Linked DNA regions of Oryza sativa Japonica Group. The main gene of each other region encodes a partner of the protein of the gene in region 2 in a complex. Links are inferred from orthologs where the notes say so. Each region holds a gene or a part of one and is shown on either strand. Other genes may lie near its edges. The genes, in order: calcineurin B-like protein 1 and cBL-interacting protein kinase 23.

Region 1 (4,268 bases), on a different chromosome or scaffold from region 2:
GTCTCTTGGTCGGACTTGAAGCCGAAGCGAAGCAGCGACGGCGACGGCGAGGTGCGCGACACGTGGCCCCCACGAGTGCCGTCGCTTGTCACGTGGGCCCCACGCGTCAGCTCAGCTAATCGGCGGGCGGGGTAGGAGTGGGGCCCGTGGATTAGGTGGCGTGTCCTGTGAATACGACGTGGCCGTTTCGTCGCTCCGGGTTGCCACGTGGCTCCATGTACGTATTATATGGAGGCCCACGCTCAGAAGAGGGCGGTGTCCAGAAACATGGAGCTGGGCTTTTCTTTTCCAAAGATGCTGGGCCGGTTTTCTAAAGTGCAAACCATGGGCTGCACGATAAATTAATTGATTAATCAGTTTTAGCTAGTAATCGTTAGCAAAGACGTTGGTTAACTTGGTTTTCTTGCTAGTTTCGTAGGGATTTCAAATGGTTATGAGCAGTCGTTCAAAAAAAAAAGATGATTATGAGCCAAGCAAACCATGGGACTACTATCAATTCGAAGCATCCGCTCGAGAATCTTCCATCGAAGATTTGGAACAATGTTGAATTTCTTCGATGTGACATAAACAATCTGCCTGGTCGTGGTTCACTACTGTGGTAGTAGTACTATTAGATTACTCTAATTATTGCGCGTGGCTGAGGTAAACCATGACACATTAGTGCTGGAATTGTTGCATGTGACCGAGAGGTAAGATTAGCGCAAGTTGGCTTGCAATTTCTTTGCGAAATCGTATGATCTGCTAATATTCCGTGTGGCTCTGCCCCTTCTCGCTGATTGGAGTTGCGCTTAGCCGTCGTAATAGTCATTTTCTTTTTCTTGGTTTTTTTTTGTCTTTTCTTCTTTTTCTTGGCATAAGCCAGTCTGTCTGATTGCGTTATGTAAACAAATATTTTTTTTTAATATATTGACTTAATTGTTTTGCGCGTTCGGAAAAAAAAATCTGCGAATATTCCCAGCTGACCAAAATGGGAATGGACGACGACGACGAGGTCCTCCCTTCTTCGCTTCTTCCAATCCATGGGCCGCAAGTCCGCAAGGGCCGCGCGCACGTGGGCGCGGTGCGGGTCTTCTTTCCCAAAAGAAGTCGGGGGAAAGCGAGGCGCAACGGACTCGGGGCCCACCTATCGCGTAGGTAGTAGGACTAGGAGGAGGCATAGCCCGTCTCGTCTCGACACCCCTCCGACCCCGACGCGTCGCGCACCAAACCCCCCCGCCCCCAACCCCGACCTCCTCCCGTGCTCCGCGCTCCGATCCGCCGCCGCCGCCGCGCGCGCGCCGCCGGGGGAGTGCGCCGGCGTGTGGTGGTGGGTGTGTAAGGGTAGGTGGAGGGGTGGGTGATGCGAGATCGGCCGCGGCGGCGGTAGAGGGGGTGTGTGTGCTCGGCTACTCCGGTGGGTCGGGTCTGGGCGGGGTGCGCGTGGGGATGGGGTGCTTCCAGTCGACGGCGAGGCGTCCGCGCCCGGGGTACGAGGACCCCGTCGGCCTCGCCTCCGAGACCGCCTGTGAGTTGTTGTTGCTGTACTTGCCACTTGAGGAGTACTCTACAGTACTGTATTTCATTTCATTTCATCAAGTAGTTCATCTGATTTATGCAATCGATGGGCGTACTGGAAATTCTGAGTTAGTTGTTTTGGATGTGTAGTTAGCGTAAGTGAGGTGGAGGCTTTGTTCGAGCTGTTCAAGAGCATTAGTGGTTCTGTGATCGACGATGGGCTCATCAATAAGGTGAACATCTAACTGTTTCTTGGGGGTATCTCACCATATTGGCATCATGGCATGTGTGATTATGAGCATCCTGATACATTTACTAATCTGCTTTTATAGCTTGTTGTGGAATTACAAAATTAGACCTTGCCGCATTCGAATATATCTACTGTTCCGTCTTTCATCACCATATTGGCATCATGTCATGTGTGATTATGAGCATCCTGATACATTTACTATCTGCTTTTGTAGCTTGTTGTGGAATGACAAAATTAAACCTTGCCACATTTGAATATATCTCCATGTACTGTTCCGTCTTTCGCTGGATATGAGAGGAGGTGCTCTCATATCGGAATTTATTAAGAGGGGAGTGAGGCTCGAACCTGGGTCGGCTAGCCCACAACTTGTGGTGCTAGCCAGAAGACCCCCACGCCTTTCTCACTGTTCCGTCTTTCAGGTTTCAGCTGCACAAATTATGTGGTGGATGCCATTTTCTGTGAATCGTTTTGCTATGCTGGCAGTTCTATTCATTCATCTTTGAAGTGAGCATGAATCTTTGTTGTACACACCCCGATCCTTTATTCCTCTTGTACCGCTCATTGTATTATGTGTTTGCCTTCTAAATTGTTGAATTTTCTGTGTATCAAAATGTGATTTTTTTCCTCAAAGTTTAATAGGAAAAAACTTGTTCCTGATATAAACCATCTGGCTACTATCACAGTATAACAACACAATGATAGTTCAAAGTTTGAGTCACTTTCTTCCTGCCTTGTCAATATTGATTTGCCGTGCTATAAAGCTAGACATAATGCGTTTCTCTTGCATCTTCACTTTTGTTTTTTGCATCTTCTTGTTGCGTCTTGCGTGGCGAAGAAGTTCATTAACTGCTATCTGAGAAGCCATACAGGTTCATGCACATCTGCTAGTTCTCATGAACTATAATCTTGACGTCATCAGTAGCTAAATTCACGGTATGAAATTAGGGACTACCTATCTAACGTTCGACATAAAATCCCCCCAAAAATATGCCGTAACTACAACACAATAATAGTGTAATTGCTGTTAGAATTTCAATGGTTACTCTCATTGAGAAGAGGATGGCACTCGAGATGGGGCAATTTTCTGGTTTTCTTCATTCACTAAACACAAAAGCCATATCCTCCCAAAGAGGATTGGATACATATTTATAGCTGCTTGTAGCAGCCATGCAGCCATGCTAGTCTAAGAGGGTGCTGTCAGCATCCCAACAAACTGTCCTAGAGCAGAGCATCCCAACAAACTGTCCTAGAGCATCTCAACAAACTGCTGTCCTAACTGTCCTAGAGCATCCAAACTGAAAGTAGAGATGCTGTCCTAGAAAGCTGAAAAACAGGAAAAAAGGCACCACAAGACCAAGACCAACCAGCCAAGACTTATTCCTACATTCTCCCCCTAAGTCTTGTGCGCCGTCTTGTGGGAGAGTTGAGCCATCCCGATCCGGGAGCAAAGCTCAAGGAACTTGATCCTCCCAAGGGGTTTGGTGAGCAAATCCGCAAGCTGGTCCTTGGTGTTGATGTAGCTCGCCTTGATGCTCCCTTCCTCCAAGTAGCTTCGGATGAAATGGTACCTCACTCGGATGTGCTTGCTCCGTTCGTGAAAAACGGGGTTTTTTGCCAGGGCCAGAGCGGACTTGCTATCCACCCTGAGCTCCACCGCTCCAGTATCTCTGCCGAGGAGATCACTAAGCAGTCGAGCAAGCCAGAGCGCCTGGGTCGAAGCGGCGGATGCCGCCATGTACTCGGCCTCGCAGCTGGACAGGGCCACCACCTGCTGCTTGATTGACTGCCAGCTAACGAGGCACTCGCCGAGGAAGAAGAGAATCCCGCTCGTGCTCTTGCTGGTGTCGATGTCGCCGGCGTGGTCGCTGTCGCTGTACCCGACGAAGTGTGCCTTGCCAGGACACCTCGGGTAGTAGAGACCGTGGTCGAGAGTCCCCGCAACGTAGCGGATGATCCTCTTCACAGCCTGCTGGTGCTCCGTCGTCGGTCGCTGCATGAACCGACTGACGTAGCCGACGGAGAAGGCCAAGTCCGGCCGTGTGTGGGTGAGGTAGCGAAGGCTCCCCACAAGACGTCGGTACTGTGTAGCATCCACCTCCTCCGCTGTGCTGTCGCGGCTCAGCTTCAGTCTCTCCTCCATCGGAGTGAGAGCTGGGTTGCAATCGGTGAGCCCAGCCAGCTCAACGACGCGCTTGGCGTAGGCGGTCTGTCGAAGCGTGATCCCGGAGTTGTCCTGGTGCACTTCGATCCCCAGGTAGAAGGAGAGAGGCCCCAGATCACTCATCTGGAAGGTGGCCTTCATCTCCTCCTTGAACGCCGCGACCTCTGCATCCTTGGTGCCGGTGATCACTAAGTCGTCGACGTAGACACCCACCAGCAAGGCATTTCCTCCATTGCCCCGCCGGTAGATGGCCGCCTCGTGCGGGCTTTGCTCGAAGCCCATCCCCTTGAGCGTGGAATCCAACTTGGCATTCCACGCCCTCGGTGCCTGCCGCAAGCCGTAGAGGGCCTTGTGCAGGCGTAG
Region 2 (4,256 bases):
CTCCATTCCAAATTGATCTACATATTTCATAGGTACACTAAGACCAAGAAAAGCTAATAACTCTCTCATACTACATTTACTCTAGCAACAAACTCAATGCATGCACCATCCCCACTATTTCCTATCCAATAGCAAATCAAGATATTGCATGTGGGTTATAGATACTTGTGTGCATGGATGCATGCATCAATGTCCATTTACTCCAATGCACAAATAACGAATAGACTTAATAAATGAACACAAATATGTAGATCATTTAGGAATAATCTTAAAATATATATATATAGATCAATTTGGAATGGAGGGAGTAATAAGAGTGTCATTACCATGAGGTATTATTTTTATGTTTCCAAGGATATCATATAAGCAACAAAATATTTAATTGATGACTGAAAATAACTTATATAGCTCGATAGGTTAGATTACTTGTGATGGAAATAGCCCATACCCAAGTCCAAATTCTAGATTTAACACGAGCGCTCGTATTTATGACTAATTATTCTTTCGCTAGACGTTCGTGGTGACTTCGTCAATCTAAAAATGTACAATTATGGGCATCTATGTATGTACTATCTTCATTCCAATTTAAGTGTAGTCATGAGTTTTCGTGTTCAACGTTTGACTGTCCGTCTTATTTAAAAACTTATGAAATAATTTTAAAAAAGTCACAAATAATATACTATTCATATTTTATCATCTAATAATAATAATAATAACAATTATATTTGTTTTAAATAAGACAGAAGATCAAATATTATATATAAACAGTAGAACTACACTCTTTTTGGACGGAGGTAGGACTGTGTTTCTCAGAAAAACTTGTACAATCCTTAGTTTTACCACGTTATTACAAATGCTGATGTGACAGCCTTCCCAATGACAATGAAACACCCATTAAAAGTAACCTAATATATGAACCAACATGGTTATTATTCCCATTCTATTTTTTTTCTTCTAGGTCGCTCAAAATTAAATGAAATCTTCTAGACGTAGAGAGCACTAAATTACTAGTAATTACCGCTAGTAATCACGATAATAGTATGGCCTAGGAGTAGTAAAATATTTCCTTAGCTGAGAAGAAGGGAGAAGCGTCGACGAAAACGCCTTCTTCTTCTTCCTCCTCCTTCGCCGCCGCCCACCGCGCCATCGCCTATACATACCCACCCCCCACCCACCTCCTTGTAAGTTGCAACCTCCCGCCTCACCCGCCGCCATTGACGACCACCGCGCTCGTCCCATCCCATGCCTGCGGCCGTGACCGCGAGGTTGTGAGGAGAAGAGAGTCCCAAGAGAGGAGGATCGATGCGGCAGCGGCAGGCCGGCGAGCAGGAGGCGGAGCTGTTCGTCCAGTGGAGGCCCTGCGACAAGAAGCGGTCCTAGTCGCCCGCCGCCGCTCGCCCACTCGCCGGCGTCGTCGATCTGAGAGGGACAGGGGAAGAGGAAGAAGCAGAGGAGGAGGAGGATGAGCGTGTCGGGCGGGAGGACGCGGGTGGGGAGGTACGAGCTCGGGAGGACGCTCGGCGAGGGCACCTTCGCCAAGGTCAAGTTCGCCCGCAACGCGGACTCCGGCGAGAATGTCGCCATCAAGATCCTCGACAAGGACAAGGTCCTCAAGCACAAGATGATCGCCCAGGTCAGCTCACCCATACTATTTTCTATCCCCCCAATCGATTCTCGATTTGGAGAGGTCTCCATGGATTTCTTCCCATGATGATAGTACTGTTCGAATTTCTCGCCTTCTTGTTTTTTTTTAATCATATCATACGCTGTTCTTGAGTGAATTTCGTGGACAATTTCAATTCCTATACGTACGAGTCCCAAATCATGAACAGTTTGTACTACTGCTGTTTTGTTTCCTCTCACGACAAGACGTGATGATTTTGTTTTAACCAGAAACAGTAAACATTACTAATTACTACTAGCGTTCTTGCTGCAAAAAAAAAAAGGTTTGGTATCGTTCCAAAATTGCGTTCTTACTTCCAAAATTGCAACAGCCTAGACTTTGACGTGAGGTTAGCACGGGCGCCTCGTGCAGTGTTCGTTGGAACTTGTGCTGAGTTAGTTATTATTAATGTGCATCAACTTTGGCTTAGCTTCTGACTTTTTGTGGGGGAGTTCTGACTTTGATGTGTGTTTGTGGTTTGTGTGGTGGTGTTTGCAGATAAAGCGCGAGATCTCCACCATGAAGCTCATCAGGCACCCCAACGTCATCCGGATGCATGAGGTTTACTAATCTCCAATCATTAATCTCAGCTCATCTTGCCCATGGAAAAATTTTGTAACTGATGATAAGTCCACCAATGAAATCGACTAATCATAAGCAGAGCTCGTGATTTTGGTTCGAAATTTTCGAAATTTCGGGTCTACCAGTGGGTCCTGGTTGGATGTGATTCCCAGTCTTGAATTGTGGATTTTTTTTTTAATTTTGTAAAATTTGTTCGAATTCAGCTAGAGCCTGTTCAAAATTCATTTTTTTTCTGGTTTGAAACTTCTGAAAAATTTTGGTCCCCCCCAGATTTTTTTTTTCTAGGCCGAGATTGTGAACCCTGCTAATTAAGTTAAGATATGGTTCTCAAGGCTTTGAGCAATCTGAAATTATGAAAAACCAGGGTAAATTAAATTGGTCAAGGATGACATAATGAACAAGTTGTTCCTTCACATGAAAAGTTGCAATTAGAGATCGTTCTGGAAGGAAATTCCTGTGACACTAAACTATGTGTTATCTGAAACTTTCCTAGCTCTTGCTTTCTGATATTTTCCTTTTGTTGTCTTGGCTTTATGTCGATCTCCACTTAGTGGTTTTGTTTTCTTCTCTGAAGGTGATGGCCAGCAAGACCAAAATATACATAGTGATGGAGCTTGTCACCGGTGGTGAACTTTTCGACAAGATTGTGAGTGCTTGGCCTTTTCTATCGACATCTGAATTACTCTTTATGCTATGCACACATGTTCAATTTGTCATAATTCCTGTTATAGGCTTCGCGTGGGAGGCTGAAAGAGGATGATGCAAGGAAGTATTTTCAGCAGCTGATCAACGCTGTCGATTACTGTCATAGCAGAGGAGTCTATCACCGGGATCTCAAGGTTAGCGGCGTTTAACTGTTTGCGGTGTTTACTACTGCTATGCAAGAGAGCCGAGAAGCAGTGAATTGATACACAAATTCAATTTCAGCCCGAAAATCTTCTGCTTGATGCTAGTGGCACTCTCAAAGTATCAGATTTTGGGCTGAGTGCACTGTCTCAACAAGTCAGAGTAAGTAATTTGACTCTTCCTATTTATTCTTTTATTATCTTTTTGTGGAGAGTTTCCTTTTATTCAAAGTGATGAAAAGCCGAGAGTTGTTAGTCGTAAAAAAATTAGCATTTCAATTGCTTTCTGTAGATTCCATTTGTTTTCTACATCTTTTCACATGGTAATACAGATAGTTTCAGATCCATCTGAATAAAGTTCTTACATTAGTGCTGCATATCTTTCTGTTTACTCTGCAGGAGGATGGTCTGTTGCACACTACCTGTGGAACTCCTAATTATGTTGCTCCCGAGGTACCTTCTTACACTCATACATTAAACTAGTATATAGTTATTATCATCGTTGGATTGAATATTTGTTTTCATGTTACTTATCTAAAAAAATATTTGTTCTCATGTTTCAATAATATTGTCTGTGCAGGTTATCAACAACAAAGGATATGATGGAGCCAAGGCTGATCTGTGGTCATGTGGAGTGATTCTCTTTGTCCTCATGGCAGGCTACCTTCCATTTGAAGACTCAAACCTCATGTCACTTTACAAGAAGGTTGGTCCCTCTTAACCATGTCAAAGGATTGTTGGTTTATGAACCCTAAACAAAGTTTTTGTTTGGAAGATTAATGTGATTATTGCTCATCCAGATCTTCAAAGCAGACTTCAGTTGCCCGTCTTGGTTCTCTACAAGTGCGAAGAAGCTCATCAAGAAAATACTAGATCCTAATCCTAGCACCGTATGTTTTGCAGCATTTTAACCTTCATTTCTTTGGAGCATTCTTATACATAAGTAGCTTATCCCATCGTTATCTCCTTGTGCAGAGGATTACCATCGCAGAGCTTATCAACAATGAGTGGTTCAAGAAGGGATATCAGCCTCCAAGGTTTGAGACAGCAGATGTTAACCTGGATGATATCAACTCTATTTTTAATGAATCTGGGGTAAGCTCTCACACCATTCAGCTCATAGCATTACATTCTTCATAATGCACTGGATGGGCTTGGTAACATCT

What was found.
Region 1: cBL-interacting protein kinase 23 (region 2) and calcineurin B-like protein 1 share a complex: the UniProt entries of both Arabidopsis thaliana proteins name them as parts of the K(+)-channel calcium-sensing kinase/phosphatase complex. The link is inferred for Oryza sativa Japonica Group from reciprocal best matches to the Arabidopsis thaliana genes CIPK23 and CBL9.

What each region holds. Positions count from the first base shown.
Region 1 is NC_089044.1:22,989,842-22,994,109, forward strand, and holds the start of calcineurin B-like protein 1, read left to right. Parts: upstream 1-1,175; 5' UTR 1,176-1,425; coding exon 1,426-1,504; intron 1,505-1,644; coding exon 1,645-1,727; intron 1,728-4,268. UniProt on the Arabidopsis thaliana protein: Acts as a calcium sensor involved in abscisic acid (ABA) signaling and stress-induced ABA biosynthesis pathways. Contributes to the regulation of early stress-related CBF/DREB transcription factors.
Region 2 is NC_089041.1:2,656,491-2,660,746, reverse strand, and holds the start of cBL-interacting protein kinase 23, read left to right. Parts: upstream 1-1,183; 5' UTR 1,184-1,462; coding exon 1,463-1,633; intron 1,634-2,161; coding exon 2,162-2,224; intron 2,225-2,819; coding exon 2,820-2,891; intron 2,892-2,976; coding exon 2,977-3,084; intron 3,085-3,172; coding exon 3,173-3,253; intron 3,254-3,489; coding exon 3,490-3,543; intron 3,544-3,670; coding exon 3,671-3,796; intron 3,797-3,890; coding exon 3,891-3,980; intron 3,981-4,065; coding exon 4,066-4,185; intron 4,186-4,256. UniProt on the Arabidopsis thaliana protein: CIPK serine-threonine protein kinases interact with CBL proteins. Binding of a CBL protein to the regulatory NAF domain of CIPK protein leads to activation of the kinase in a calcium-dependent manner.